Arabidopsis thaliana: one gene and its partners. The protein of the gene in region 1 purifies or fractionates together with the protein of each later gene. This does not show direct contact. Each region holds a gene or a part of one and is shown in the gene's direction. Other genes may lie near its edges. The genes, in order: ATPQ, PHB4, HAP6 and PHB5.

Region 1 (7,481 bases):
GTACAAAGAGCGTTTTGAGAATTGAACCCCGGCCTCTCTCATTCAGAAAATTAATACAAATGCAAAACATATAATTTGTTTATCAACTGCTTATAGATTTCCCAAAAAGAAAGTAGAAGGTTCAACAATTTCATGTTACTAGCTACCATAAACATTAAAACTGGAAATTAAACTAGAAAAAAATGTTCATTTCATGGATATGAATTGCTTCTGTAGCCTAACTGGGTTTAGATATGTTTCTAGTTAGTCCTCCAATTAAACAGATCAATTCGATTAAATTTTAGAAACTCAAAACAGATGTCTGTCACATCATCCATCACAAGAACTTAAAAAAAAAAAACACATTTCTCATATGTCAATTTAATTAGTTTTTTTTTTCCAACCAAATTGGTTCATGTACTTGATTATGTATACACTATACACACTCATATAAATGGATAAGGTAGTTTTATAGTCCAACCACCGACAAAACGTGCATTCCACTTCTTCTTCTTCAATTGCCATGCCGTCGTCAATATCTCAAACTTGACTAATATAAACCAAAGAAGAAGAAGTATATAACAGAACCAAAAAATATAAAAATTCATGTTCGTTGTATTACCAAATTTAATTTACACTTAAATAAACCTACCAACCAATCACTCAAAACAAATACCAGTTCGTTACACAATGGACACTTGAAGTTGAAAGCAACCGAACAACAAAAGTTTTAAAAACTAATAAAAATTTAGGTGAATATAATAATAAGGCCAACTATGAAGAAAAGGTCTATTTTATACTTTTTATATAACCTTTTGTCACGGGCACTGTTTCATTCCCTTGGACCCCTTCTTCTTCAAGATCTGTTTCTTCCTTCTTTCTCTCTAACCAGATTTTGTTGTACCAGAGAGAGAGAGAGAGAGATCCCTTAATAATTCTTACACATTTATCTTTCTTGTCTGAATCCTAACAAAGACTTTAGTTTTGGTCGATCTTATAATTTTCTTTTTTTATTCTATGGATTTCTCTTCCGGGTTTCAATAATTGTCACTTCCGTAGTGTAAGTACGCGTGTATTGTATACTAGTCAGTTACACAAGTGTCCTTATGTGTTTCCTTGTCTTTAATTCATTTCTGAAACTGAATTTATTCTTCTCTCAGATTCTGCAAAGGTTTTGGTTTTTTCTCCGAGTTTTTTTGTCCTTCAAAAAAAACTTTGGTTGCTCTCTCTCTGTTCAAGAAGATCCGAGCTTGATTCCTAATCTGTGAGTTTTATGCATTCCATTTAAAGCTCTGATTTTGTATTCCTGTATCAATGTTTCCCCCTAATGTTATAGATTTTGGATAAAAGATTAAGTCTTGATGGATCTTATGATTAATTGTAACAATTTATATCATCCTTGGGTCATGAATTTACCTCTGTGGTTTTGCATTTGCAGATCATTTGAGAAGAAGAAACTAAGAAATGGGTAAGAGTTGGTTTTCAGCTGTGAAGAAAGCATTAAGCCCAGAACCAAAACAAAAGAAAGAGCAGGTCTTTATGCTAGATTATTCACATTTTTTGGTTATCTATATCCATAAAGAGAAATGCTTCTATATGTCTTTGATGTAATTGAAAAGCTGATACTGAAAATGGTATTGTTTTTGACTCCATTAGAAGCCACATAAGTCCAAGAAATGGTTTGGTAAATCCAAGAAGCTAGATGTTACTAATTCTGGTGCAGCATATTCTCCTCGTACTGTCAAAGACGCGAAACTAAAGGAGATTGAGGAGCAACAGAGCAGACATGCTTACTCTGTGGCTATTGCAACTGCTGCAGCTGCAGAGGCAGCCGTTGCAGCTGCTCAAGCTGCTGCTGAAGTTGTTCGTCTCTCTGCATTATCACGGTTCCCCGGGAAATCAATGGAAGAGATCGCCGCTATCAAGATTCAGACAGCATTTAGAGGATATATGGTAACGTTTTTGTTTTTTAACATTTTCAAGTCTAGTAACTATAAAGGTGGTTTTGCTAACTAATGGAACAAAGTTCATACTTTTTGGTTACCCTTTATTAGGCAAGAAGAGCATTGCGTGCGTTGAGAGGTCTTGTGAGGCTAAAATCTTTAGTCCAGGGGAAATGTGTGAGACGTCAAGCCACATCTACATTGCAAAGCATGCAAACACTAGCTAGAGTACAATATCAGATTCGTGAGAGAAGGCTCCGATTGTCTGAGGATAAACAGGCTTTAACACGACAGCTCCAACAAAAACACAATAAAGACTTTGATAAGGTAAGCAAATCAAATCCTTACAAAGATGTTTATAATTTTAGTTACAAACTTGGCTTTTTGTTGATCTCGGATACATGAGAAATTCACAATGTGAAATAGATTATGTTTCTTGCTACAAACTTAAAGATTGTATTACGTTTTGTGAAATAGACTGGAGAAAATTGGAATGATAGTACATTGTCGCGGGAGAAAGTTGAAGCAAACATGTTGAACAAGCAAGTAGCAACAATGAGAAGAGAAAAAGCGCTTGCATATGCATTCAGTCACCAGGTATTAAACTAGTTTCCTATCTTACTTTAGTGTGTCTTTACACCAGAAGAATTATATATCTCAAAATGGTGAAACTTGTTAATATGCAGAATACATGGAAAAACTCAACTAAAATGGGTTCTCAAACATTCATGGACCCTAACAATCCGCATTGGGGTTGGAGTTGGCTAGAACGTTGGATGGCTGCTCGACCAAACGAAAACCACTCACTCACACCAGATAATGCTGAAAAAGACTCTTCTGCTAGGAGTGTAGCAAGCCGTGCCATGTCTGAGATGATTCCACGAGGCAAAAACCTTTCACCAAGAGGAAAGACACCAAACAGTCGAAGAGGGTCAAGCCCGAGAGTGAGGCAAGTCCCAAGTGAAGACTCAAACAGCATTGTGAGTTTCCAATCAGAACAACCTTGCAATCGTAGGCATAGCACTTGTGGATCAATTCCATCAACTAGAGACGATGAAAGCTTCACCAGTAGTTTCTCTCAGTCAGTTCCAGGCTACATGGCACCTACACAAGCCGCCAAAGCAAGAGCTCGATTCTCAAACCTTAGTCCTCTAAGCTCAGAGAAGACAGCGAAAAAACGGCTTTCCTTCTCGGGATCTCCTAAGACTGTAAGACGGTTTTCAGGTCCACCAAAGCTGGAAAGCAATGTTACTAAGAAAGATACTAATCTTGCTTAAACAGAGAATGGATATATATATATAGTTTATATCTGACATTGTTGATTAGGCAAAAGTCTGGTGCAGAGGTGAATTCAGAGAAGATTCTGTTATGTCTTTGTTTGTTTTTTTGGTATTTTTTTTTACTACAACAAACTTAATTATTTGTTTGACTTTTTTAATTGGTTGAACATATTTGTATTGATGAAGAGACATATATAATTTTCCACATGCTATCTGAGTTCCTTCTTTAACATATTTGCTAACGCCAAAGTAATCTAAAACATAGAACCAGTATTGAAACTTAATGGGGGTGTTTTTTAGGTCAATTAAATAATAAAGGGGTTAAATTAGAAATAAAGAGAAGTAAAAGGGCCTGTAAGCCTTTTAGGGATTCTAGGGCTTTCCTTCATTGGTCAGATCAGACGACGTTTTACATCTTCTTCTTCTTCCTCTTCGATATTCGTCAGTGTGTGTATTTTGGGGAAAACTTTGTGAGCAAAGAGCGAGAAAATGAGCGGAGCCGGTAAGAAAATCGCGGATGTGGCTTTCAAAGCTTCAAGGACTATCGATTGGGATGGTATGGCTAAGGTCCTTGTCACAGATGAGGCTCGTAGAGAGTTCTCTAACCTTCGTCGTGCTTTCGATGAGGTTAACACACAGCTCCAGACCAAATTTAGTCAGGTTCTCCTCTCGATTTCCCCCCTCTCTTGATCTGATTTTGTCACTACTGCTTGGTTTAGACTTTTTAGATCTTTATAATTTCGATTTCTGGATCAGGTGCTTCTTTCACGAATTTTTACGATTATCAGATTTTTGTTGGTGACACTCATTTTTTTCTATTTTGTTGATGTTGTTGTTCCCATTGTTGATTGATCCAGATATGTGTTAAGATCTATTTCCTTAAGACGTGTTAATCAGAGAACATTGTGGTTGGTCTTTGTTTATTGATCATTAGAAATGTGGAATTGTATCGAGAAAAACATTGATGTATACTATGATTAGCCCACTACATTTCCAATTCCTAAGAGATCTTTTATTTCCTAACTTGTTTTATGTATTGGGTTGTGGAGTGATTGTTGTTTTTGGTTATCCTTTTAATCCAGGAACCTGAACCTATAGATTGGGATTACTATAGGAAGGGTATTGGAGCTGGCATTGTTGACAAGTACAAGGAAGCTTATGACAGTAAGTTTTATTTTCTCTGCAATTTATACTGATACTTGGGAGCGTTTGTGTAGCCTTGCAACTCATTATCACAATGAGTTTGTCAGTGGTTATCAAGCGGATGTCTTTTGCTTGCCTTACTTCGGCTCTCAAACCTGACTATATTGTTTTGAGAGAGATGTGCTTAAGAATGGGGGCTGAAACTGAAGTTCTTATACTTGTTATATATCTATTTGATTGTTGGAATTGTGGAGATATATCAAAGAAGATTATGAGAAACTAAACTGCATCTTTTATGGCTTGCTGCAGGCATTGAGATTCCAAAGTACGTTGACAAAGTTACTCCTGAATACAAGCCAAAGTTTGATGCTTTGGTGAGTAATAGCTGAGACACTCGAGACTTTTTTACAATTTTGACAGGTCTTTTCAATTGACATCGTTTTTGTTCTCTTGTGCCATGTTTCATGCTATATCTAGTTGGTGGAACTGAAAGAAGCAGAACAGAAATCGCTCAAGGAGTCTGAACGGTTGGAGAAAGAAATTGCTGATGTCCAAGAGATCAGCGTAAGTAGCCAGAAAAAACAAATCCTCTTCTATGAAGTTTGTGTGTATTTTTTTTCAACTCAAGATTCTGATAAAATGATCATGGTTGTTTCTATGTGTTGGTGTAATCAGAAAAAGCTCAGCACCATGACTGCAGATGAGTACTTTGAGAAGCACCCGGAACTCAAAAAGAAGTTTGATGACGAAATCCGTAATGACAACTGGGGATACTGATCATGTTTCTCCATCTCCGGCTTGGAAAGAAAACTCTCTTTCTCTTTCTCTGTTCTCTTACTGTGATTTTGTGAGCCAATCATAACAATAATAAGTACACCATTCACTTAAGCAGTGTTGAGATCTTCATTCCAAGGAAGATAAACGCATTTGGTTTTAGTTATCAATTTCACAAATTGTTTCGTTTCGTTCTTCAGTGAATAATAAGAGTCAAAAAAATTATCATTGTCAAGGAATGAAGAAGACTCTTGACTCGTCATTGTTACATTTCCTCTCTTAGCTAACAGGATAGTATTAATGTCATGTTTTTAGTTGATTTTTTTGAGTTAGCAATTCGGTGCAATGGTAAATAAAGACGAACCCAAACCAACTCTGGTAAGCAAATTTGGTTGATAAGTCTGTCGGTTTGTTGTTAAGCCTTCGGTTTACCTCGAACCGGGTTTTAGAATTTTTGTCGACCCAGAAACACATATCCCAGATTTCGTTCTTCAAGACACAATGCTAATTTCTGCAATTACACTCAAGTGGTGAGCTTATTACTTGATGGAGCCTTGCGCAACCATAGATAGTTCACGAAATGGTATGCGGTTAATGGTTATCAAAGGTGGGTGAGGTCTTTGATTCTGACCGTTCATAGAGGGTTAATATAATCGATTGCTATTTTTGATTTTTGCCGTTAAGTCTCTCTGTAAGGTCCAGTGCATGTTACTGCTTGTCTAATTACACGAAACAAATACTGGTTAGCTATGTGCTTAGAGCAGAATGCTTAATAACAAGTAGAAAGACAAATCTTTATTGGTCTAAAAGAATCAAGATCCACGTGCTCTCCTCCTACCCTCTTCTTTGTACCGAAAGTCAGGTTTTGGCCTTTTGCTAATTATTGTATCAAATAAGATAGGGAGATAAGACCAATTTCCTCTTTTAAAGTTAAAACCTGTATCTGTAAAATGCATGAGCCAGATATTAGCCTCGTAGATCATGCTATCATGTCTATCACGTGTCCAAGGTCAAAGGGTTTAGCATGTCAATCAATCCAATTTTGGAGGGTATATTACAGTATATTCGTCTAACCCTACTCTATAAATAGGTGATGTGTGTGTCCAAGCTCCAAACAAAACAACACAACAAGGAGCTTCTCAAAACCTCAACACAAGGTAACTTTTAACCCTTTTAATGAGTCTAGTTCACTCAATTAATGGTTCAACAAAAAACAATTCTTTTGACCATTGATTCTGAAACGTACAGAAACAATATGGAAATGGGAACCTCATCATCATCATCAGGCTTGGTCAAGGCCAAATCTGAGACACTCGCAGAAGCTCTTAAGTCCAGTTCACTTGATTTCAGCAACGGTGATGGCAGCAGCCACGGGAGCAAGCAGCATGTGAGGGCTAGGACATTATCATCGCCGAGCTACAGTAGCAACAGCAAAAACAGATGGAACACTCACATAAGGAAGGCCAAGAGTGCTCATCCTGCTCTTGACCTTGCTGGTCTCACTGGTGGTGCTGCTCTTAGCCGAGCCTCTAGTGCTTCTCTTGGACTATCCTTCTCTTTCACTGGATTCACCGTGCCACACGAAGAGATAATTGCTTCAGAGCGCTGTAGCAATGACGATATTTGTAAGAAAACCATTAGATACCGCACATGATTGAAGCCTTGATGTTAACTTTGGACTTTATTGGGTTCTTCTTCTGGTATCATTCATATTGCAGTGGAAGATATTGAAGCAGCAACCAGTAGCGTGGTCAAGTTTCAGGCAGAACCAACCTTTCCGATATATCTGAAGGTAACCCATTTCCGCTGATAGATAATCTTATGGGAAACATGGGAAAATGATCTTTATATCTATTTGAGCGCAGGCACTGTCTGATGGAGATATGTAATTAAACCATCAACACCAAAAAGTCCGTAGAAATATATAAAATTTTGCTGCCATTGGTCAGTCCAAACTTCAATGGGTCTGTTGTATCTCATATGATGTTTCCTAAACAAGAAATCGCTATTTCTCCCATAGTGAAGAAACATCCATAAATTTTACAAGTAGAATAATCTTCATCATTGCATTAAGACATTTGGAAACCTCTGTTTTGCCTTCTTTGTTGGTCTAACTTTGGTGCCCAAAAGTCAAGCTTAGGAGGCTCAACTACCATTTACTTGTTATCGGCAACATGTGAAGCAGAGCTTCACGCTGGACCAAAAGGGTATGGTTATATTAGTATCGCCTTGTATAAATCAGAGAGAAATTCTAGTCATATTTCTATGGAAAAAGACTGGTTTTCATGAAAATTCAAGCATATAGGAACTTTTACTTGCAATTCTTTCTGACCAAATCAATTCTTATCATGTGTTGTGCAGT
Region 2 (6,917 bases), 9.3 Mb from region 1:
TATCTTAGATTCCAAAATAAAGTCTCAAAATAATTAACATATAGTCAATCAAAGTTTTTATATGCTATTAGAGTTGTTTAATAGTAAAAAAACAAAAAAACTTTGGTTGACTCTGTCAAGAATAAAATGAGATTTGTTCTCTAATTTTAGCGTAAAATAATAAATCTGAATTAATCATATCCCATTATCTCTGGACTTGGAGCTATATGATCAGTACTATCATTGAATTTAGACACAAATTGGTTATAAGGGTGTTCGTTTAATATAGTTTGGTATTCGGTTTTTACAAAATAAATTTGAAAATCCGAGACAAATTGGATATTCAAAATAATTGACAGATCGTAAGGTTTATTTTTATTGAAGATAGAATACTTTTAATTATTATTGTGAGTCGGTCTTAGGTTGTTGAGACGAAAGTTAATTATAAGAATGTTTGTCACAACCCATTACTAAGTCTAAAGCATAGAAAACTTGGGATGACTAAACTTGGGGTGACTTGTACAATATCAAAAATCGAGATCATTGCCTCGGACAATAATAAATTCCACAAAAGTACGAGTGACTAGTGTCCACGAGACTAGTGGTTGAAAATTAGGACTTGAATTCATTCCCTCTAGAAGTTTATACAAATTTCAGACCAACTTTTTAATTAACACTTTTTTTCATTTATTTTTTCTTGAGCAAAATAAGAGAGGAAGTAAGATAGATTAAAATTTAAACAACCACAAGATAAACATGCTTTAAGATTCTAGTTAAGAGATGGATAATTGAACGAATCCAAACCAATTGGAGGGGAATGGTCTGTTAGATTTCACATGTTAGAGGTTCCTCCATGAAGTCTAGAGTTAGACTCTTTCGAAATCTCACAAAATGTAGCTTGAAGGATGAGTTTGACATCAACAATCTGTTGGTCCAATAGTAAATCTCCCAGATGGAGGTGTTGAGTTCAAAGCATGTTGGGAGGGATTTTTTCTCCTAAAAAGATGAATTTAACTTGGTGTAGGTCTCGCCAGGCTGACCTCGCCCATATTTACAAATTACAATATCATCAAAACCCGAAGGAGTAAACAAAGAGTGGTGATTAAAGAATGAAGTGTCATTTTAAATAGCTCCCACTTGTTTTTCTCTCGATCTCAATCTGACAGAAACTGATATATTCCACTGATCTTCATCGATTCATCAAAGTTTTAGATTTTAATTCAGATTTCATCTTAAGGGAGGGTATTACGAGTATAGGAATGTGATTATCATATTAATGAAAGTTGAGGTTTTAAAAATAGCTTAACCAAACAAATGTAATCTTGCCAAAAAGATATAAAATGAGTCCATCAACAAAATTTATCGGAGTTACAAGATCATCAGATTCCGAAAAGCTTTTCTGTTTATGCGAGCGGTAATAGTGTTTTTTGATGTCTCCGTCGATTTCTTTGAAGGTGGCCAAAGGCGAAACGGAGACACTATTGTGCAACAAGTTGTTCATTTGTTTCCAAACATGGTAAGCTGTAGCATGAGCAACTCCTACTAATTTCCAAAGAATTGTGGGAGCAGTCTCTGTTTTTAGCTTAGTCCAAGCCAGAATTGAAATCCAAGTAATAAAGATATAAGGCGATATCGTTAATCCTCTTCTGGTGTTTTCTGTATGTAAAACGGCGTCTTTCTTTTGATTCGAAACGGAGGAGTTTGTGAAGGGTAACAAGACGGAATGGTTCTTTATATCTGGGAGGACCAAGATGGGGAAATGTGGAAAAAGAATGAATCGTAGAGACAATGGAGGATACTGGAGGGTAGTATCATCTCTGCCAAGAAGATTCATGCTGGAGAAGCAGGCCTTGTCGGCTACAAATACTCACTAGAGTACTACATTGGAAAACAACCAAAATGGCGTAAAAGAGGGTTGGTTGATGCATGAACACTGGCTTAAGTCTTCTGATGATATTAATAACTACGAGCTGGTAAGAGTATATATGTACGTTTACTTACTTGGTTTCCAAGTTATTGAGACTCTTGAGTTTTGGTTTTTATTGTGACGACTTCTGTTGTTTTGTTTGAGTAGGGCAATTATGCTATGTGCAAGATCTATCTGAGTCCACACGCAGCAAAGAAGAAGAAAACACACGATGAAGAGATCGACGATTTAGTTCAATTTGTGGAAGCAGCCTTAGATGTTTCTTTTTATCTACTTTTGCTGTCCAAAGTCAGAGGTCTCATTGTCTTTATATAGAATTTCTTGTATATAACATTTTCCACTGGTTGTATAGAAAAATCAATTTTAGTCTTTTGTGCTTATTCACTCTAATCAAAATCTCTAATCAAGGTGAAGGAGGAGGTGGAGGAAGAACATTTTCATCTTGCTCTCTAAGAAGATCCAAAATCTCTGCAGGGTTGTTATCAACACGCTCTTCGTCTCTGTCTTCCTCTCCGGATTTAGTTTCGTTTATGGGCAAATAATCAAATTCGGGTTTAATCTTCCAAACCGTTGTTTCCTTTTATATTACATCATTTCCTTTTCCTTTTTTATTATTGGGCCGAAGTAGTTTATATTATTAATGGGCTTTAAACAAGCCCATATTCAATAATTGTCGGCCAAAAAAAACCCTCTCTTCCAAGTTCCAAAATCATTTCATAAACCCTAACAAACCCCTAAATCTTTCCTTTCTCAATTCTCTCCTTCGAAGCTTTTTTCTTGTGAGGTCAGAAAAGAAAATGGGAAGTCAACAAGTAGCGATTTCGTTTCTGACGAACTTGGCGAAGGCGGCGTTTGGGTTAGGTGTGGCGGCGACGGCACTAAACTCGTCGCTCTACACTGTTGATGGTGGCGAGAGAGCTGTTTTGTTCGATCGATTCAGGGGAGTGTTGGATCAGACCGTCGGCGAAGGGACTCATTTCTTGATCCCGTATCTCCAGACGCCGCACATATACGATATTCGTACGAAACCTCACACTTTCTCCTCCAAATCTGGTACTAAGGATCTTCAGATGGTTAATCTCACCCTTCGTGTTCTCTTTCGCCCTGAGGTAATTTCGATTTTAGCAACAATCAATTTCTCGATTCTGTGTTTGATTTTGTATACATTGGTTGTTTACAAGATCGAGGGTTTAGGATGATCGTGTTCGTTCGATTTAGCAATCATTTATCGATTCTGTGTTTGATTTCGTGGAATTTGAAGTTTGTGTACAAGATCTAGAGTTGAAGATAATCCTTATGTGTAATTTGGTTTCTTCGATGAATGTTACTCTTATTATAGAAGCTTTTGGTGCATATCTATGCTGGCTTCGATTGTTTGAGGGATTGAATAAGTTGTTGTGGTTATTTTACTGTGAAGGTTTCGCGTCTCCCGTACATTTTCCAAACATTGGGTCTTGAATACGATGAGAAGGTTCTTCCATCGATTGGAAATGAGGTCTTGAAAGCTGTGGTTGCTAATTTCAATGCTGATCAGCTCCTCACTGAGCGTCCTCAAGTATCAGCACTTGTTCGTGATGCTCTTATCAAGCGTGCCAGGGAATTTAACATTGAGCTCGACGACATAGCCATTACTCACTTATCGTACGGTGCTGAGTTCTCGAGGGCAGTGGAGGCGAAGCAAGTGGCTCAGCAGGAAGCTGAAAGGTCAAAGTTTGTGGTGATGAAGGCTGATCAAGAGAGGAGAGCTGCGGTTATAAGAGCAGAAGGTGAGAGTGAAGCTGCTCAGTTGATATCAGATGCAACAGCTAAAGCAGGAATGGGACTAATTGAGCTTAGGAGGATTGAAGCTTCAAGGGAGGTTGCGGCTACTCTGGCTAGGTCTCCGAACGTGGCTTACTTACCTGGTGGACAAAGCATGCTCTTTAATCTGAACCCTGGTCGTTGAGCTATAACATTGGTATGCTCTTTTACTTCTTTGAATAATGAATGAAAAATGGATTTGGACTTAAGATTCCCATTTAAAGGCATTAAGGTTATTCGGTTTGGTTGAACTAAGAGTGGTTATGGTTTGGTATAAACTGTTTGGTTTGATAGTAGAGTATGGTTTAGGTTTGTGGAATGGTGTGGTTTACTTGTTTGGCCTTGTTGTATTTGCAGGTGGGAAGAGGAGCTTCAGTGGAGACAAAACGACGGAGCTGTGAAGTTTATTAACGTTGATGCTCTTTTATTTCTGATGAACACGATGTGAAAAAAGATAATTGTTTTGAGCCGTTCTATCTTTTCTGACTCTAGAAGTAAAGACTATGCCATTGTTGTCGAAACCCGATCATTCCAATGAAAGGCTTCACCAAAAAATCTACCATAACAATAGTCGAAATTTGTATTGTCAAAAACAATTTCCAACACCAAGGTTGTTGTACTTGTATTATTTAAAATATAAATTAAAACATGGTAAATAAATTAAATAAAACTTTTTTATGTGGTCACTTTGGTGGCTTCGGTACATGCGGTGGCCTCTTGTGGTGGGGTAGACAAACTCTAAGTATAGTGCATTCACAAACTTTAACTTTTCCCTTCAAATTACAATTTGCTCCACCATAACCTTCGTTGTTACAACTCGTTCGGCACCTCCTAGCACCGTCTACCTTATTACACGTCTCTGGCGGTGCTTTGCTTGGATAATCATCACACAATTCCCAATTCATTGCTTTTCCTAATACAATAATTCGATCAATTACAAGTATTTATATCGTATTGATTATATATGCATATTTTTGTTTTTTTTCAATGAAAATATATTTGGTAGAAGATTTAATATTATTTACGATTTTATCTCCTTGTAGTGATTTATTTTACAGCTAAATTACAATTTTGACAAATTTCCTTAATTTTTTTTTTAAATGAGTATAAGAAGTTCCATTTTTTCAATATTTGTATATCTTGTAATTTATAAACCAAAAGTTTAACCGCAAATAACACCTTTTTTTTTTGTTGCATTAAGCATCTATCATTATAAATCAAACTTTTAGACATTTTGTTTTTCCTTTTATAAGTTTTTATTTTTCTTTGTTAATAGAGTGTTTTATGAATAATAAATCTAAGTGTCATATTGCTATATATCAGGAATTATTATTTCTAAAAATAGAAGAAGAAATGAGAGATAATCCGTAAAAAATGCCTATGAAATTGTTTAATGAAAAGAAACATTCATTATTAATTTATATCATAATTCTCTTTTTTCATATAACTTTGATATGTTTCTTTATTAAAAATATGTTATTTAAACGTAATAATTACCTACATGATATTATGCATTATACACTGGATGTACAAACTGCGAATAAGTATTGGAATATGAGAGGTATTATTAAGTAAACTAGGTTTGGATGAAGTGACTAGTGAGGATGGTTGGGAGATCTTGCAATGAAAGTTTGTGATCATGGGCTCATGTTTCCAGGGAATGTACAAGCAGGAGTGGATTGATAAGAGATTGATCCATTTTGAAAATTATACAAGTCATTTAACAAAAGCTACATATGGAGGAGATTAAAAGACTAATTAATGATAATGTAAAATAACTCTGATATATTCTTTATTCTCTTCTCTTTTCTTGTAAGTTCTACTTATTTCCCATTTGAATCCTGGTGCTTCAACTTTCAAGTAAAGCTCTAGTCTTTGCTTCTCTTCATCTCTCATGATCAAGTTTGACTCGAGTCCGTTGCAGAATCAAGTTTAGCTCAGATCTTTCATGATGCTGTAGATGAAGACTAAACACCCTTCTGAGTCTTATCATGTTTCCATTTTTTGTTGCAGCTCTTCTTATTGACTTAGGTTTGATACCTCAAGCACCAAGACTCTTCATTCTTCAGAAAACAGTGTATTGAGGATCAAAGTAATGTGTTAAGCTTCGGTTTTGACTTCAAATAAACTATTATAAGCGGTTAGACCTCTTCTCAATGCATACCACACAGCTGAATGCAAAACAGAACGGCTTGTTTTCACAGTCATTTAAGCAACTCCCACACTCATGGCAACGTTCTATGCAGACAACGCAAGCTCTGCAAGATGACTTAGAATAAGGATATTGACCCTTCAATGGACATGTATCTGCTGGACAATCAAATACCAGACTTGGTTTCTCACACCAGGGGCATATCTCGAGGTCAGTAACTCGATCATCCTCTAAATAGAATTCTGATCTACAAGACGTATAGAATCTCTTCTTCCTCTCTTGTAAACCCACTTTAGCATCTCCTCCTAGCAATAAGTTGAGCTCTTTAAACTGCTCCTTTGTGAAATACAACGCCCCACCAGTGATTAGGCTTTTGACTCCAAGACGGTTTGAAGATTTTAAGTCCCTTAAAGTTGACACTAGTCCTGCTGTGCTTAGTCTAAGACAACCAGATACACTCAGCTGCAAAAAAACAGACACACATGAACAAACAACACAGAATCATATAACAAGATTGGTTCCATCATTCGATCAAACTAACCTTAGTAAGATGTGGATTGCTAGCAAGAACTTGCTTCAAGCCATAATCAGTGATACCAACACATCCTCCAAGATTCAAACATCGAACACCGCCTAGAGCACGGCGTGTTAACTTCAAAAGAGACTCATCAGTAACTCTATATTGAAGAAATGAGTCATTAAGATCAATACTTGTCCAGAAAAAAGGTTCCTTTCCAACCGAATCACGCAAAGACCTACAAACTACTTCAACCGCAAGAATCTCTTTCAACTCTAGATATGGAAGAACCAACTCAAACGCGTCATGAGCTTCACCACCACCACCACCATCATCATCATCATCACCATCATCATCATCATTATTATAAAACCAACTTAGAGTCTCGAACAACATCTGATCAACAACACCAATTTCTTTCTGATTCTCATGAAACCAATCAGAGATTGTGTTCAAAGTCGATCTAACTCTCATACAAAACGGATCCTCAGGCAAAGTATGATCTTCTGAGACTAAACCAATCTGATTCTCATGAAACCAAT
Region 3 (10,657 bases), on another chromosome or scaffold:
GAGCTTCCGAATCAAATTTTGAGTGCTGCTGTTTTGTTAATAGTGATGAGTTTTTGTCCGGATCAGATAATGGAAGTATTGCACTTTGGTCCATTTTGAAAAAGAAACCAGTGTTTATCGTTAACAATGCTCACCACGTGATAGCTGATCATGATTCTGTTAACCATAACTGTACACCAGCATGTTCTTGGGTCAGTTCAGTTGCTGTCTGTAGAGGTAGCGAGCTTGCTGCATCGGGAGCTGGTAATGGTTGTGTGCGTTTATGGGGTGTTGAAAGTGGATCTAGTGCTATACAACCTTTATACGAGCTTCCACTTGTAAGTTTGTTTTCCTAGGTCGGCTCTTATTGCTATTTGTGTGTTGCATCTGTTACTGACATCCAATGCTTATGACCTTTTTGCAGCCTGGGTTTGTGAACTCTTTAGCTTTTGCAAAATCTGGTCGGTTTCTGATCGCTGGTGTTGGACAGGTACACATTTTCCTTTAACCAGACATATATATTCGTCTCTGTGAATGCCAATCTTAACTGTAACTTTGGGTATATGGCAGGAACCGCGGCTCGGAAGATGGGGTTGCTTAAAATCTGCGCAGAACGGTGTTGCAATACATCCCTTAAGGCTTTCATGAAGGGATCTCAATTTAGATTGCAACTTATTTTAGAACTTCAGTTATGTAGAGGTACTACAGCTATATTTTTGACATGGAAGGGAAGAAAGAGAACATATAGAGGCTCTAATTAAACAAAATCGGAAAGTCCCATTCCTGCTTTATGCTTAAAAGTCTTGTTTTATTGATCAAACAACATATACAATCTGATCTTTACGCATAGAGGAACTTTGTTTTAGTGGTATTCAAAAGATCCTAAAGAATACTAGAATTGATAAAAATTTGTGGTTTAAGAACTCAGATACACAAACTTGATTATTTTACCAGAGATTTGGACTCAATAGGTCTACAAAAATAGCTAGTGAACTAAGGAAACATAGAAGCCAAGAGGTCCCTAGATGAAGTCTAATGACTACGATTCTCTCTAGACTAGCTACCTCAGCTTTCAAACTATGATGATCCTTGGAGAATCGTGGTCTTTGTAGCTTTAGGACTCTTGCCATTGCACTCTACTGGACCGGGTAACAAGATGCAGAAAATGATATGGAGAGCTTGAAGAAAATACCCAGAAACTATGCATTTGAATGAAGAAGCACAAGCAGATGCAGGACATCCTTTCCTACATAACATTCTGCTGAACTTCCAACACAAAGCTCACAGAGGACAAACCTCAACTCCCATATTGATTAAACAGTTGTAATCTTGGTGCAGAACTGTAGATTCCAAGATAGTCTGCAGTTCTTATCTAGGAATATGGTTTTGGTAAGGATAAAAAGTTATACCAAGTTTGAGCTGATCATGACCCAGTGGCCTTCCTAAAGGTTAGAATATATGAAGAGACAAATCCTAAATGTATGAGTGTACAGTGTTCATACACATAATACTGAAAAATGAAGATTTGAAAGAAGTATGCAAACAGGCAAACACGATCAAGGAAAGAGATACAAAAGAGGTTTAACAAGATTCCATTTACATCCTAGACAACTTCACCTCTCAGAAGGCCGATATGAAACAATATAAAGTAGAAAAAGATTAAACTTTCAAGCTTCAACTAATATTCTATCATATAGTAGCAACTGCCAGTGACCATTTTATTTCAAGTAGATCACAAAAATAAAGACAAATGTCTCAAAGTTATATCCATTGATCGAAATCCAATCAACACAACTAATAAAACAAGAGAAAACCAATGACGCAAAGACAAATTCCTCTAACCTTAACAAGATCATCTCAACTTCTCTTTACCAGAGCTCTTCCTAGCCGCAGCATTCATAATCCTCTCCAAATACCCTTCAATAGGTGGAGTAAGCGTAGCCGTACCTCGACTCACCGGAAACGGAGTCAAATCACGCACTAAAGCCGCCTTCTTCAAATTCTCCGGCAATGCCTCAACCGCAGCGTTCCTCATCTTCATCAAACTAATCTCCGCTACACGTCTCGCTCTATGCTCTCTCATAAGCACTCTACTATACTCTTTCGCAAGTCTAATCCCATCCTCCACTGTAACCTTATACTTTGGTAACTCATCTTCCGTAAAAATCCCTAACGAAATGTAATCCAATCCTGGAGTCCCAATCCTCATCGGCGCAGTAGTAACTCCCATCGTAAAGGATCCACCTTTCTTCTGAAAATCAATCTCTTTTTGCCTCGCTTTACTGATTAGCCCTAGCTTCTCTCGTCTCGCTTCTCGCTCTCTTTCCTTAGGTCTCAGGTAACGAACAGGACAAGGAGCGTTTATGCATTGATCTGAGATTCTTCCTTTTCCCTTATCCACCTCATCACCACCTCTGCCACCGCCGTTTCCACCGCCTTTTTTGATTGTGAGTTTGTTGCGTTTCAATGATTGGCCTGTCTTCAGCTTCGATTTTCCTTTGGGGGTTCCACTAGCGTAACATTTCTGGAGAAGATTGTAACTCACTGAGTCAATTATAGGTTTTGGTCTCGCGAATCTGATCATTTTCAGATTCTGATTTCCTCAGAGCTCTCTCTGTTTGAAATGAAAATGGTGATTGAAGTTGATCTGCAAGGTTTAGGGTTTCAAGGTACGCCGTCGTTTCATGAAGTGTAATTTAAGTTCAAATCGAGGGTAAATCGGTAATATCAGGTAGTGTCATCAAACTCACACTCATTTTTTAGCCTTCTCTCTGGTTCGTCGTCTGGTTCAAAAGCTATAGATCGATCCTAGGCTTACCTCAAACCTCAGTCTCCGTTGACTACTGAGACTCGTCGACCTCTGATCCGCTTCTTCGACTATACGGATCTACTTCCGATCTGTAAGAAGCTTAAATCTTCGGTTGATTTTGGAATCCATCCGTCGTAGATGTGTAATTGTATTGATTTGGATGAGTTTATCTGTTTTTTTGAGTTTTCTTATGCAGTGATGATGGCCGGAGGTAACGTACGGTTTCTGGTTTTGATACTCGCCGTAGCAATTTGCGGTGCTGCTTCTGTTTTCCAGCCGATCTCAGACTCTCACCGATCTGCGGCTCTGGATGTCTTCGTACCAGTCGATGGATCATACAAAAGGTTGGTTTCTCTATCTTAAGTCGGCATTGCTTTGATGTAGGGGTTTTAACCACATTTCACCGATTACATATTGGTTGCTCGTTAATGTTCATGAATGGTTTTTGTACGGACTAATCTGATTTTTATTACTATCAGCTTGGAGGAGGCATATGAAGCATTAAAGACTTTGGAGATTCTTGGAATTGATAAAAAGTCTGATCTTAGCTCAAAGACTTGTGAGAATGTGGTTAAAGTTCTTCAGTCGTCTTCTTCTACTCTTAAGGATGCATTTTATGCGTTAAACGTTAATGGGATTCTAAAATGTAAAATTGGTGAAGCTGGTCCTAAGGTAAACAATTGTCTCCTCTCAGTATCATAATTTTAACTATTAAGCGGCTAAAATAACCTTATCTTTTCCTCTTTTGAAGGACATTGTTTCTCAACTTCAAGCTGGTGTTAAAGATGCGAAGCTATTGCTTGATTTCTATTATTCTGTCAGAGGCTTGGTGCTGGCTAAGGTAAATACGAGTTAAAACTTTTGGTGGACATCTTGAGTGAGATTGACTACACCCTTTTTCCATAGAGTATTTCTAGGAGAGTTTTCTTAGTTTTTCGTGCATTATGTTGAAGTATGAAAATGTTTTGGCAGAAGGTACCTGTGATCGTGATTATTTTATTTTATTCAACTCCATAGCTTTGGCTTCCTGACTTTTCTTTTTCCTGGCTTCAAGTTTGACCTCACTGTTCCATGAATGCAGGAGCAATTTCCTGGAACTCATATAAGTCTTGGAGATGCCGAAGCCATTTTCCGTTCCATCAAGGTTTGAACTTGTTTAGCTGACCTTCAATTTTGTTGTTGTTGAACTATCAGATGTGACATTCATACACTGTCTTTTTGGACTATCAATTATAGACTCTGGTAGAAGTATATATATATTTTCGATATGTTACCAAAACTCAGTTACTATATTAATACTACTTAGATTGTTTTCCGGGTATTATTTGGCTGATATAGTGCATTTGTATCAGTCTCTTAGCCAGAGTGATGGAAGATGGCGCTACAGCTCCAACAATCCCGAATCAAGCACTTTTGCTGCTGGTTAGTAGTACATATTGGATTAACCCTTACCTAACGTTAATGATGAGCCTTTTAGATTATGTATCCCTTCCTTTCTTGCTTCAGCTTGTTCACTTCTTTTGCTCTTTGTTATTTCACTCATTCTTCTCAACATGCGATTTTTTTTCTCAGGCTTAGCCTATGAAACGCTTGCTGGAGTGATTTCATTAGCACCTTCAGAGTTTGATCCATCTTTGGTAAGTGAGATGTTTAATCCACTATACTTCTGATTTCCTGAGAATATATTTTGATGAGATATCACTACGATATGTTGGTTTAGTGATGATCTACTTTTGCTTCTGGAATCTCTAAGTAACTAAAATAAAGAGTTTTGTTTTGATAATTATAAATTCCAAATCTTAGCTACAGGGAATTGTGATTTGATAATCACAAAGAAAGATTCGTGTTTTGATAATTATGCATGTCCACCTGACTTCTCATTTGGTTATTCTGGTGGTTTCTTTTTCATTTTATCTGGTAGTTTATTAATCTTGGTTATGTAATGATCGTCATTCATGTTTGTCCTCTGTTAGATCCAGTCGGTGAAGACGGGTATCCTGAAGCTTTCTGACAGTATCCAAAAATATGGTATGCAGTAAATTACTTGCTATCCTATGTATTGCATGTTATATTCTCTTCACTCACTTCATAGTTTTTGCCAGCTTGGGTTTTGCATATGTGGGCTTTGAATTATTATTTTTGGTCTTTTAGATGATGGGACATTTTATTTTGATGAGAAGTCTGTTGATGCAAGTCAAGGCCCGATCTCAACAACTGCATCAGTTATTAGAGGGCTCACGTCATTTGCAGCTTCAGAATCCACAGGATTGAACGTATGTAATACCCATGTTTTCATGTATCCTATTCTGACAAATGTGTTGATAGTTGACCTTCGCATTCCCATTATCTCATGCAGCTTCCAGGTGATAAGATAGTTGGTCTGGCCAAATTCTTTCTGGGTGTTGGAATTCCTGGTGATGCCAAGGACTTCTTCAACCAAATAGATGCACTAGCTTGTTTGGAAGACAACAAGTAATACTACTTTCATGCCCCTTTGTGCATTTTCTTTGTGCATTTTCTTATTAGTTTATTTCAGTACACATCTTAGAATCATTTCAGTAACCTTGAATTGAGTGGTGTGAAAGACATAAGAGTTACAAGGACTTACTGTTACTTCCATTCTTTTGTGTTAAAGTAAAGTTGCTTATGAAAGAGAAAAACTGTTTCTCTTTACATTGTTAGAATTTTGAACAAAATGATTACCGAAGAAATGATATCTGTAGGGAAAGAGTAGAAGTTTAAAACTTTGAACACTTGTGAAATTTCAACCACTTGCTCATTTATTATGGTCTAGCTGAAACTTTATCATTCTATGGGAACAATAATTTGCTCTATGGTCATTCTCTATCATTTCAGGTTTTCTGTTCCACTCATCTTGTCTCTTCCATCCACTGTCATTTCATTGACAAAGAAAGAGCCTCTGAAGGTACCCATTCATAAGCTTGCATCAAGATTTGACTTCTAGTAGTGAAAGTCTTAACTTTGGACTTTCTGGCTATAACGGTTGGATGTTGGATTCTAGCTGGTATTTGGTTTAGAGATTGCTCAGGCTCATAGCATTGCATCTTTTTTGTAGAGATCTCTTATCTATTTGATAATGACTCATTTTAGTTGACCCTTCATCCATTACATTTTTTCTTATTTTAGATTTTTTTTCTCTTTATCTGGAACTAGGTTAAAGTTAGCACTGTACTGGGTTCGAAGGCACCAGCTCTTAGTGTGAAGCTTACACAAGCTCTAAGTTCTAAGTCAGTGGATTCATCTGTAATTAATAACCAGGTAAATAATGTATCTCTTACTGTTTGAGCTTGCAATAGAAATGTTCCTTATTCTCTGCATTAGGCCGGTTTACATTTTTCCATTACATTTTTGGGGTACAGGAGCTTAAGTTTGACGCTGACAGTGCAACGTACTTCCTGGACTCCTTTCCCAAGAACTTTGACATTGGAAAATATACTTTTGTATTTAAGGTATTGCACTTCTTTGGTTTTACTACACCCAAGACTTCATATAAATGTATGATGACAACATGATAAGCTTCGTTTTCTGCAGATTGTGCTGGATGAATCAGCACATGAGAAAGTATACATAACTGAAGCTCAAACAAAAGTGCCTATAGCTGCCACAGGAGCTATTAGCATTGAAAATGCAGAAATTGCTGTACTTGACAGTGACATTGGAAGCGTTGAATCTCAGAAAAAGTATGTCACCTGTATTGTTGATGAACAACTTCCTTTTTTGCTTATTTTGATTGATTGCTAATTGCTTAACCATTTTTCTTAGGAAACTTGTACCATTATTGCTTACAATATATATTTCAAACTTTTTGTTGTTGTGCTTAGTGTCTTCTTTTTGTTTATTGGTTCTCTCTGTAACATTTGTAGGCTAGATTTAACTAAAGATGGAGCGGTATCATTATCAGCAAACCACCTTCAAAAGCTACGCCTGTCATTCCAGTTAACTACTCCACTTGGCAATGCGTTTAAGCCACACCAGGTTTGTTCATTCTTGATTTTTCGCTTCATCAATGGTTATATTCTGTTCTATTCACTTTCTTGACTTGCTTACTTCCATGCAGGCATTTTTCAAGCTGAAACATGAGTCACAGGTCGAGCATATCTTTCTCGTGAAAACTTCTGGAAAGAAGTCTGAATTAGTTCTAGTTAAGTTCCTTCAACTTCATTTAAAATTGCTTTTGCAAAAAAAGTTTAATGATCAAGTTTGGTGAAATTAATGACGTCCTAAATACAATATTAATGGTTAATGTTATTTTCTTACCTTCAGGATTTTCTTGGATTGGTTGAGAAGCTCTACTACCTCTCTGGTAAATATGAGATACAGCTAACCATTGGAGATGCTTCTATGGTAAGTACTTTACTTTCAGGTCCAATGCAGTTGATGATTTATGTCTTCTGAGATTTGAACAGTGTTATTTTCCTTTCTCTTTTCCCAGGAGAACTCTTTACTGAGTAATATTGGTCACATTGAACTAGACCTACCAGAGCGTCCAGAGAAGGCGACTCGTCCTCCTCTACAGTCTACTGAGCCTTACTCAAGATATGGGCCAAAAGCTGAAATATCACACATATTCAGGATTCCTGAAAAGCTTCCAGCAAAGCAGCTCTCACTAGTTTTCTTGGGTGTTATCGTTCTCCCATTCATCGGTTTCCTGATTGGGGTCAGTCTCCCTTTGCTTGTAAATAGTATCCGAAAAACATCATCACATTTCTTTCACTACTCATATATATTTTTTATGTTTCAGCTTACGCGGTTGGGAGTGAACATAAAGAGCTTCCCATCGTCGACTGGATCTGCAATATCCGCTTTACTTTTCCACTGCGGAATTGGAGCTGTTTTGCTTCTATATGTGCTATTCTGGTTGAAGGCAAGTTTTCATAACCGATTATTGTTTGTTTGATCTACAGTTGAATCATTGCATCAAATCACAATTTCTTTGTTTTGTTTGTTTGCATTCTACAGTTGAATCATTGCATCAAATCACAATTTCTTTGTTTTGTTTGTTTGCATTCTACAGTTGGATCTATTCACGACTCTCAAGGCACTTTCTTTGTTGGGAGTGTTTCTGTTGTTCGTGGGACACAGAACACTATCTCAACTTGCATCAGCATCAAACAAGTTGAAATCTGCTTGAAGAAGAAGAACTCACTATGAAGGATCTTTTTTTGGTTTATGCGTATTTTCAGTTTTGTAGTATTGCTTATAGATTATGGTGATAGACAAATTCAAAAGAAGTTCAGAGTTTACATACTCTCTCAGTTTAGTCTTAAAAAGTAATCAAGAGTCTCTTTCCTTAGCTTTTTTGTTGAACCAAATCAACTAAGATAATGATTAGCTCATGATTAGATCACATGAGTTTCTTAATTATTCACACTTTATGAGTGTTTGTGGAAAGTTAAAAGGTCTAACAAAATTTTGAAATAGGCTGGCCATAAAATCGAAATGAAATTTTATATATAAAATCAAACCGAATTTCATTCTAGTCAAAATAGAAATAAATGCTGATAAAAATGTAGAAATTACTTTGGGTAGAAACGAGTCAACGAAGGAAATGTATTTGGTATTTGACCCTTAACATGGCAATGGCAACGTTACAACTTTTTTTTTTTTTTTTTTTTCTTGCATCGTTACAACTTCACAAAACTTTACAGTTGATTGGAAAATTAAATTTTAGAAGAAAAAGCACGTAGTTGTCTTTTCAGACAATTATTTGTTCATCTTGAATTTGTGTCCCAAGAACATATCTCTCTCTCTCTCTCTCCTCACCTTGGTAAGAACGTCCAATCCAATCTATAAATCTCCTTGATGGAATTTCCGTACATATTACTTGTTCCTTTCTGATCTCTTCTTCATCGGTTTTATGTTTCATCGAGTTTGAATATTTCTTTGTAAGTCTTTTCCTGTCGGTTATGTTTTCGTCGTTGAAATGGTTTCAGGAATTAACAAAGATCAGATTTTTGGCCTTTTTTTCTCTTCTAAATTTGAATTTCGATTTTGGGAACACGAATCGATGATGCTGATGATCTACAAATGGGTATTGAAAACGATTTGTTCATGGTTATTCTGCGGTCGTGGTTTCCCCAAAAAAGTTTGGTTTTTAAATTTGCAAAGCAGAGTTTGATCTCTCATTTAACAATACCATGTTCTAACCATATTGTGCGTGATGGGTGATTTCTTTGGTCTGTGAAGGATTCTCTGTTTGATGATTGCTAGTTCTTTAGAAGAGCAATGAGTTATTCTGGAGCCGGACTCGGAAAGCCTGGCTCAGGTAAACCATTTATCTTAGCAAAGATTAGTCTTTGTATGAGAGATATATAGGCTGTGACTGATTTATCCACCTTGTTGGTTCACAGGTAAAAGGAGAATAAGGGATCTTTTAACTCAATCTGATAACCGAGTCTGCGCTGATTGTGGCGCTCCAGATCCTAAGTGGGCGTAAGTTTTGCCATTTTTATGTTTTGTTCCAGTAAGCATTTTATGCTTCTCTAAGCAGTTTGATTGAATGTTATGATCTTGTTTCCCTACTTGTGCATTTTTTGGTTTGTTTCGTTTTTCGTAAACCCATAAAACTCTTGGTTGCTTATTACAGGTCAGCTAATATTGGAGTGTTTATATGCTTAAAATGTTGTGGTGTCCACAGAAGCCTTGGCAGTCATATCTCAAAGGTTGTGACTCTTTGCTTCTCTTTCTAGTTTTGGTTTATCTTTGGTGAAAATTTGCCATTGGATTCCATTAAGATGGCTTACAAATAATATTGTGGATTTGTTATCTCGCTCCACTTCTTCTTACAGAATCTTTTGCAAGTGTATTTATAGTTTTCAACTTTCCAGGTCTTATCCGTGACATTGGATGAATGGTCAGATGAAGAAGTCGATTCGATGATTGAAATTGGAGGAAATGCCTCTGCAAATTCAATTTACGAGGCGTTTATTCCTGAAGGTAGCTCTAAGCCTGGACCTGATGCTAGTCATGACCAGCGTATGAGGTTCATTAGGTAGGTTACAAAAACCCGATAAGATAGTGTATATACCTTCATTAATAGTTTGGTGAAATATTCATCTCAAATCTTTGTTTCAGGTCGAAATATGAGCACCAAGAGTTTCTGAAACCAAGCTTGCGGATCACATCCGTGAGGGGCTCTAGTACAAAGACTCCAGCATTTCTTTCATCGAGTCTATCTAAAAAGATTGTTGATAGCTTTCGCACTAATTCATCATCGCAACAGCCGGTAAAGCTTCTTTATTTTTCATCTTTTTTTTACCATCTAACTGTTAGAATCAAGCAAGTAGAGCAAACTCTTTGAACTTGGATACTGCTAAGTCCTCTGATTCATGGTGTTTTAAATTTAAACAATGACAGCAACTTGAAGGCATGGTTGAGTTTATTGGATTGTTGAAGGTGACTATTAAAAAGGGTACCAATATGGCCATCCGAGATATGATGTCAAGTGATCCCTATGTTGTGTTGACTCTAGGACAACAGGTAATTATAGTGAATACTTTTGAAATCTTGAAAGGTTTTCTCTTTATATGTTCTTACCATTGTTTAAGTGATCATTATTGTCATCTCTTTTTCTGATCGTTATCATCGTTTTACCAGAAGGCTCAATCTACTGTAGTGAAGAGCAACTTAAACCCTGTCTGGAATGAGGAACTCATGCTCTCTGTTCCTCATAACTATGGCTCAGTGAAATTGGTAAAAGCTTGGTCTAATATTTCCAAAATCACTTTCTACTCTTGATGAATCATTACAGAAGTTTTTCCCTTACATTTTATGTTTTTGCAGCAAGTGTTTGACTATGACACATTTTCTGCTGATGACATAATGGGAGAAGCTGAGATTGATATCCAG
Region 4 (6,170 bases), on another chromosome or scaffold:
TGTCAAATACGACGTCGTTTTGTATGGAAATGGATTTTTTACACCGCTGAAAAAATAAAAAGAAAACTCGGAATCTCTTCTTCTTCACTCAAGAAGTCGCTCTGAAACTTGGAAACCACATTTTTGTTCTCTCAAGAGTCTGTTTTTTTTTTCTGGCGTAAGTTTGAATTTCATGAAAAGTTGTTATCGCTAGTCGATTTAGTGTAATTGATATCCTGATTAAGGCTTTTCTCTGCATGCCAGCCAATCAGGCTAGAATTGTGAAGTATAAAAGTAAGCAAATTGACAATGGCGACTCCGACGGAGCTAGGTTTCTCTTCACCTGGTGGTGGTGGTGACGACTCTGACGATAACCCTCCACAGAAGCGTACTTCAAAACGTACTGCTTCCGAAACAGCAACAGAAGAAGAAACGAAGAAGAAGAAAAAGAAGAAGACGAAGCACAACACAAAAATGGCTTCTCCTCCGAGCAACCGGATCTGGAACGAAGAAGACGAGCTCTCTATCTTAAAGGTATTTCCTACTTTGTCTCATCTATCTACTGCATTTACTTGATTGCGTTGCGATTCCTGAAACGGCATATCTATAATTCTCAGGGATTGGTGGATTTTCGAGCTAAAACAGGACTCGAATCCAAAATTGATTGGGATGCGTTTTATTGTTACGTCAAAGGTTCCATTCATGTGAAAGTTTCCAAGTGCCAGCTTATGAGTAAGACCAGGAAGTTGAAGAAGAAGTTCCTTGATCAAATGGAGAAAATCGATCAAGGAAATGATCCACATTTTACTAGGTCTAGTGAAACTGAAGCTTTTGGATATTCCATGATGATTTGGCGTAAAATTGATGCTGAATACACTAATGGTGTTATGGATAAAGCACATCAAAGCGAGAGTGGAGTAAGTGACTAATAAGAGTTTGTCATTTGTTTTTGATACACAATCGTCAAATCTGTTACAATAAAACTTGCTTAATGAATTGTGGTTTAAGAATGATTTGGATATTGTTCAATTATATGGTTTGTTGAATCACAGGAGGAGGTGTTTGAGGAGGATGAGGAAGTGGCCTTAATTGACAAAGGGGCTGCGAAAAGTGGCAAGTCACCTCATGAAGCTGTTGTTGTTGTTGACAAAATAACTACGAAGAAGAACGGGACTGCTGGAAAAGAGAGTGATGATGATGATGATGATGTGTTGTGTGCTGTGCGGGATGCGTTTGAGACCACCATGATGTCGCAAGGATTAAGTGATTATCAAAAGAAGTTGCAGCTTGAGAAGCTGATGAACCTTGGAACTGGTAAAAGAAGAGAGTTGAGCAATGAATGGAAAGCACTATGTGTTGAGGAACTAAAATTGAATATCAACAAGCTTCGATTTTCCGCCAAGCTTGCAGAGGCAGCAAATGATGGTAAATAAAATGAAGAAACGCCATTTCAGCATTTGGTGTTTGTCGTTTCGGAATTGGCTTGAAAAATATAGTTTACTTCTTACTTCTTACTACTTATTAGCCATAGACCATTTACCTATAAATGTGGTTTATGTCTTTAGCTTTACTACAACTTCTGGTGATTGATCTACTTGGGAAAGTATTTGTACCATTTCACTTTGATTTTTACCATCACACCTCAGTGTCCTTCTTCATCATAAAAAGAGATGATATTATAAAGTTGTTTTGGTCAATATAATATATGATTAAATAGATATTTTGATACATGTGTCTATCAGTCTATCGTTTAAGCTAAAACTCAACGAGACGACAGACGATAAAAAGGGATTAAGTTTCTTCTGTGTAGATTATTCTTCTTCTTCTTCTTCTTCCATTGTCTCTTGGGTTGAGATTCCGATCTCAATGTCGATCAATATCGGAGAAATCTCAATTCCAGACCTTCCTATCTTCTTCTCCATGTTCTTAACCATCTACCTAATCGCTTACTTCATCGTCTTCCGCAATTGGAAACCACAAATCCGTCCCGAAGCTTCAAGCTGCCTGATCTCAATCTTCCATGGATCTCCAGCGGTTTTCCTCGCCACACGCGCAGTTTTCTCCTCCTCCGAACGCTCCTTCGCCTCCGCAAACACCGCCGCACAAAACACCGTCCTCGATTTCAGCGTCGCTTACTTCCTCACCGATCTCTTCCACTACATCGTCTTCAACCCTAACGACGTACTCTTCATCGGCCATCACGTAGCCACTCTATTCGTCTTCCTAACCTGCAGATTCCTCGTCTTCCACGGGGCTTGCGCCATCTTAGGCCTCCTGATTCTAGCTGAAGTAACAAGCGCGTGTCAGAACGCGTGGACGCTCGCCGGAGCAAGGAAGAATGATCCGGAATCACGATTAGCTGTGAAAGTGTACGATCTCTTGTCTCCTCCGTTTTACGCCTTCTACAGTATCGTTAGGGGTGTGTTGGGACCTTTGTTTTTCGGGAAAATGGTAGCGTTTTACGCTCGAGGTGGTGCTCATGGTGTGATACCTAATTGGTTGTGGATTTCTTGGGCAATTGTTGTTGGAATTGCTATTACTGTTAGTATACTTTGGATTTGGAATCTCTGGATAGAATTGTTTAGTGAAAGGAAAGCTAACAAAATCAGAGTAGACAAGAAAATTAGATAGTTTCTTCTTTCTTCTCTAGATCATTGTTTGATCTTCCTTTTCATGTACTATATATAATATATATACCATTATTATTCTCACCTTTTAGAATTCCTCTAAATGATGTATGTTTTGGAATAATAGATTTGCTTTTGGGTAAGCAGTATGTGCAAAATGCACTTTTAATTCAACTCTGTATTGTTCAGAAGTTCTTCTCTTAAGAGTTTCTTCCATACACATATGTCTTGTCTCTCTGCTACACTTGGTTGCTCACATCTTGATTCTTGATATTGATGAGAAACGTTTTCTTTATGAAGTGTGCCATTCTTGGTGAGTTATATTTGGCTTTATAACTCTCTTTGTTTACGGCCAACACCAAGTCCCCTGAAACCAGCAACTGGTAAGCCATATATTCTTTTACTTGGAAGAATCAAAAGTTAGCTGGGGAAGTGTAAGAAATTACGAAACACAGAGATTCATATCTTCGATCATTGGATTGTGAACTTTTCATGTGTTGAAGAGGATAGGAAGAGAATTGGGGACTAAACATACCATCCAAGCTGAGACATGGTGTTAGGCAGTCTGTTGTGGAAAGCTGAATGATATACCATTTGGCCAATGAATAGCATAAAATACACAAATTTAACCAATTTACTGAGAAGAGCATGGAATTAGAGAAAAATCTTTTAAGATCAAATAATCCCAAAGATAATAAGGAAAATGAAGGGATTGCTCAAACAAGGGGAATTATAAGGGACACATACAACAAGTCATTGTTGAATCTCATTTCAGTTCTTGGCCTTGATAGAATGGTTCTCCTTGATTCTAGCTCTGGTATCCAGCTTCACAAAACGTTTAAGATCATCAAAACTAAGAGTCTCAACGTTCTTCCTTCTAAGTTCGCTAAGCGCCGGTCGCTTATCAAGCAGATGCCATAAATAATCAGGGTGATCTGAATTAGGCAAGATCTTAGGGTCCAATCCATCTTTCAGAGTATTAGCACTAACAACCATACTCGATTTGATCTCTTTGCTCAAGTTCGATGCTTTTGGTGCATCATTACCTCCATCTCCCCTCCCAACCTTCTTCGCTTTACCAGCAGCTGTAGCAAATGTTCTTTGGCACACAAATCGCATTACATCTTTGGATCTAGAAATGGAATCCCCAAACATTCGAATAAGGTTCATATCAACAACCTTATACCTGCAAATTCACAAAATAAAACTAAATAAATCTACACAATCCTATAATGTTCGTTCTCGGATTTAGATCAAGATTCGAGTTTTGTCGAAGATTTTTGGGTGAGGGTTTAACTCGCAAGATAGAGATAGGTAGCGAGTGCATCGCGGGAACTGGTAAAACTTATTAAAAAGTAACGGACCGGAAAATTAAAAGACCCGTCTAAAAGCCCACCAATAGTAATGCATACAAGTAACACGTGGCAGGTATGGTTGACCGAGTGAGTAACAGAACGTGAGAAAACCGACCCGCTAAATAAGAACCCGCCCAATATAATAAGCTTTCTCCTTAACTTCTGCCTCACGCAAAAAAAAAAACTTCCTATAAAACCTCATCTCCTGCGTTCTCTAACTACTTCTCACCTATCTGACAAGAAAAGAAACCCTAAACAACATAAAAAGAAACCTAAAATCCATACAGGAGACATTCAAAGCCAATCATGCCTTGGTCAAAGTTCACAAAGGTAGCTCTAGGTCTAGGAGCTGCCATAGCGGCTGTGAGATCAACAATGTTCACCGTTGATGGTGGCCAGAGAGCTGTTATGTTCCACCGATTCGAAGGGATTCTAGAAGAACCAGTAGGAGAAGGGACACATCGTAAGATTCCGTGGGTGCAAAAGCCGTATATCTTCGACATTCGGACCAAACCCTACAAAATCAATACCGACTCTGGAACTAAGGATCTTCAGATGGTCAACCTCACACTTCGTGTTATGTTTCGCCCTGATGTAAGTTCCCGCGAATATCCAAAAAATTTCACTAATAAGATTTTGTGATATATATGTAAAATAATATATAACTGTTTTCCGTGGGTTCGTGTTAGGTTTCGCGCCTCTCGTATATATACCAAAACTTAGGTCTCGACTATGGTGAAAAGGTCCTACCAGCGATCGGGACGAGGTGGTTAAAGCGGTGGTGGCTCAGTTCAACGCTGACGAGCTCTTAACAGAACGTCCACAGGTCTCAGCTCTTATACGCGAAACGTTGATCAAGCGAGCTAAGGAGTTCAACATTGTTCTCGATGACGTGTCGATCACTGGTCTCTCATACGGTAAAGAGTTCTCACTTGCGGTGGAGCGGAAGCAGGTGGCACAGCAAGAAGCTGAGCGGTCCAAGTTCGTAGTGGCAAAGGCTGATCAGGAGAGACGAGCGGCTGTGATTAGAGCAGAAGGAGAGAGCGAGGCGGCTCGGGTTATATCGAAAGCGACTGCAGGGGCTGGGATGGGGTTGATCAAGCTCAGAAGGGTCGAGGCGGCTAGAGAGGTTGCGATTACGCTCTCTAATTCTCCCAATGTCGTCTATTTGCCAAGTGGTGGGAATATGTTGTTTGCAATGAACGGTCCAAGCAAAGTTGTTGCTTGAATTAGTTGCAAAAATATGGTGTTCAATGGTTATATTGATTTGTGTGTTTTAAGATTTTCATTTTTTTATATAGTTTCCTAGTATTGGATCACCCTAGTATACTCCAGTTGAGACTGTTCTTGCGAGTCTGAGACTCGCACACATGACACATGACACATCTACTGTTAAGTCGACATTGACATCAAATTAAACAATCACTGTGCCAATCAAACTTATGCATAGACCTAGAGATAATTAAGTAGTCCAAGTTCAAAGGTTGATCTAACCTGGATCAGTGCCCTTGGTAGCTATGGCACATACTTCCTCACTAGGGAAAATGGGAGCTGATTATCCAGCAGCTTTCGATTAGATATCAACAAACAAAATGCAAATTAGGTTATCTTAGAAAGAAAAAAAAACAAGCTATTCATCGGATCACAAGTCACAAGTGTCACCTCGAAAGAAACTTGGGCCCATCTATATTATCTTATGGGCCTTATCGACCGATTCAAATATTGCAAATTAGTGTCGTTAACCTTTTTTGAAAACATACGGCCATTAGTGACAATTTAATTAATATTCTACAAATTCGAGCAGTGTCTTCTACATTTCTTTGTAAAGTCTTTGGTTTTTAATTTTAAGGTCAAGTTCACCATGAGCGACCAAAGTTTTGAATTTTTCAAGGTTTTTATTTTCATTTTATCGTTGTATGGAGAAAGTTTCTTATATCTTCATTTGAACATTGAATAGAATTATTAAACATTATAATTCAAGGTAGGATGGTCAAACAATTATTCTAGATTTCCCTCTTAAATTCCCAAATTTAACATAATTTAAGCTTTTGGTAACCAAAAATCTAACATCTTACAAAATTTAATAAATGTTTTTGGCCCAAAGAAAATTTATAGTGCTGGCAAAAGAAAAATTATAATGAATGTGCTCTTAATTAAATAACCAAGATGAGTTGATTAATTATGGATTTTGTAACAAAATAAATAATTT

What was found.
Region 2: the proteins of ATPQ (region 1) and PHB4 fractionate together in Arabidopsis thaliana (co-fractionation; one large-scale study listed by BioGRID). This does not show direct contact.
Region 3: the proteins of ATPQ (region 1) and HAP6 fractionate together in Arabidopsis thaliana (co-fractionation; one large-scale study listed by BioGRID). This does not show direct contact.
Region 4: the proteins of ATPQ (region 1) and PHB5 fractionate together in Arabidopsis thaliana (co-fractionation; one large-scale study listed by BioGRID). This does not show direct contact.

The regions. Positions count from the first base shown.
Region 1 is NC_003074.8:19,392,998-19,400,478, forward strand, and holds ATPQ (ATP synthase D chain), read left to right. Parts: upstream 1-3,426; 5' UTR 3,427-3,691; coding exon 3,692-3,862; intron 3,863-4,284; coding exon 4,285-4,366; intron 4,367-4,654; coding exon 4,655-4,719; coding exon of another isoform or gene 4,720-4,723; intron 4,724-4,822; coding exon 4,823-4,909; intron 4,910-5,020; coding exon 5,021-5,122; 3' UTR 5,123-5,447; downstream 5,448-7,481. Other genes in the region: IQD3 (IQ-domain 3), read left to right, coding at 1,444-1,512, 1,636-1,932, 2,034-2,249, 2,400-2,519, 2,609-3,199. UniProt on the Arabidopsis thaliana protein: Mitochondrial membrane ATP synthase (F(1)F(0) ATP synthase or Complex V) produces ATP from ADP in the presence of a proton gradient across the membrane which is generated by electron transport complexes of the respiratory chain.
Region 2 is NC_003074.8:10,074,201-10,081,117, forward strand, and holds PHB4 (prohibitin 4), read left to right. Parts: upstream 1-2,608; 5' UTR 2,609-2,703; coding exon 2,704-3,015; intron 3,016-3,323; coding exon 3,324-3,851; 3' UTR 3,852-3,863; exon of another isoform or gene 3,864-4,063; 3' UTR 4,064-4,408; downstream 4,409-6,917. Other genes in the region: AT3G27270 (TRAM, LAG1 and CLN8 (TLC) lipid-sensing domain containing protein), read left to right, coding at 1,434-1,506; AT3G27290 (RNI-like superfamily protein), read right to left, coding at 5,838-6,320, 6,400-6,917. UniProt on the Arabidopsis thaliana protein: Prohibitin probably acts as a holdase/unfoldase for the stabilization of newly synthesized mitochondrial proteins.
Region 3 is NC_003075.7:11,275,660-11,286,316, forward strand, and holds HAP6 (ribophorin II (RPN2) family protein), read left to right. Parts: upstream 1-2,769; 5' UTR 2,770-2,879; intron 2,880-2,971; exon of another isoform or gene 2,972-2,984; 5' UTR 2,985-2,986; coding exon 2,987-3,132; intron 3,133-3,267; coding exon 3,268-3,460; intron 3,461-3,539; coding exon 3,540-3,629; intron 3,630-3,869; coding exon 3,870-3,932; intron 3,933-4,140; coding exon 4,141-4,210; intron 4,211-4,360; coding exon 4,361-4,425; intron 4,426-4,761; coding exon 4,762-4,816; intron 4,817-4,939; coding exon 4,940-5,061; intron 5,062-5,144; coding exon 5,145-5,260; intron 5,261-5,644; coding exon 5,645-5,714; intron 5,715-5,962; coding exon 5,963-6,067; intron 6,068-6,168; coding exon 6,169-6,258; intron 6,259-6,340; coding exon 6,341-6,489; intron 6,490-6,672; coding exon 6,673-6,784; intron 6,785-6,866; coding exon 6,867-6,950; intron 6,951-7,072; coding exon 7,073-7,153; intron 7,154-7,241; coding exon 7,242-7,466; intron 7,467-7,550; coding exon 7,551-7,673; and 4 more. Other genes in the region: EMB2271 (Transducin/WD40 repeat-like superfamily protein), read left to right, coding at 1-317, 404-469, 550-627; AT4G21140 (copper ion-binding protein), read right to left, coding at 1,832-2,563; ZAC (Calcium-dependent ARF-type GTPase activating protein family), read left to right, coding at 9,035-9,074, 9,160-9,241, 9,396-9,471, 9,637-9,800, 9,884-10,034, 10,166-10,288, 10,406-10,501, 10,592-10,657.
Region 4 is NC_003076.8:4,608,835-4,615,004, forward strand, and holds PHB5 (prohibitin 5), read left to right. Parts: upstream 1-4,267; coding exon 4,268-4,555; intron 4,556-4,727; coding exon 4,728-5,189; downstream 5,190-6,170. Other genes in the region: AT5G14280 (DNA-binding storekeeper-like protein), read left to right, coding at 289-513, 597-896, 1,032-1,412; AT5G14285 (DNA-binding storekeeper), read left to right, coding at 1,846-2,610; AT5G14290 (Mitochondrial ribosomal protein L37), read right to left, coding at 3,378-3,776.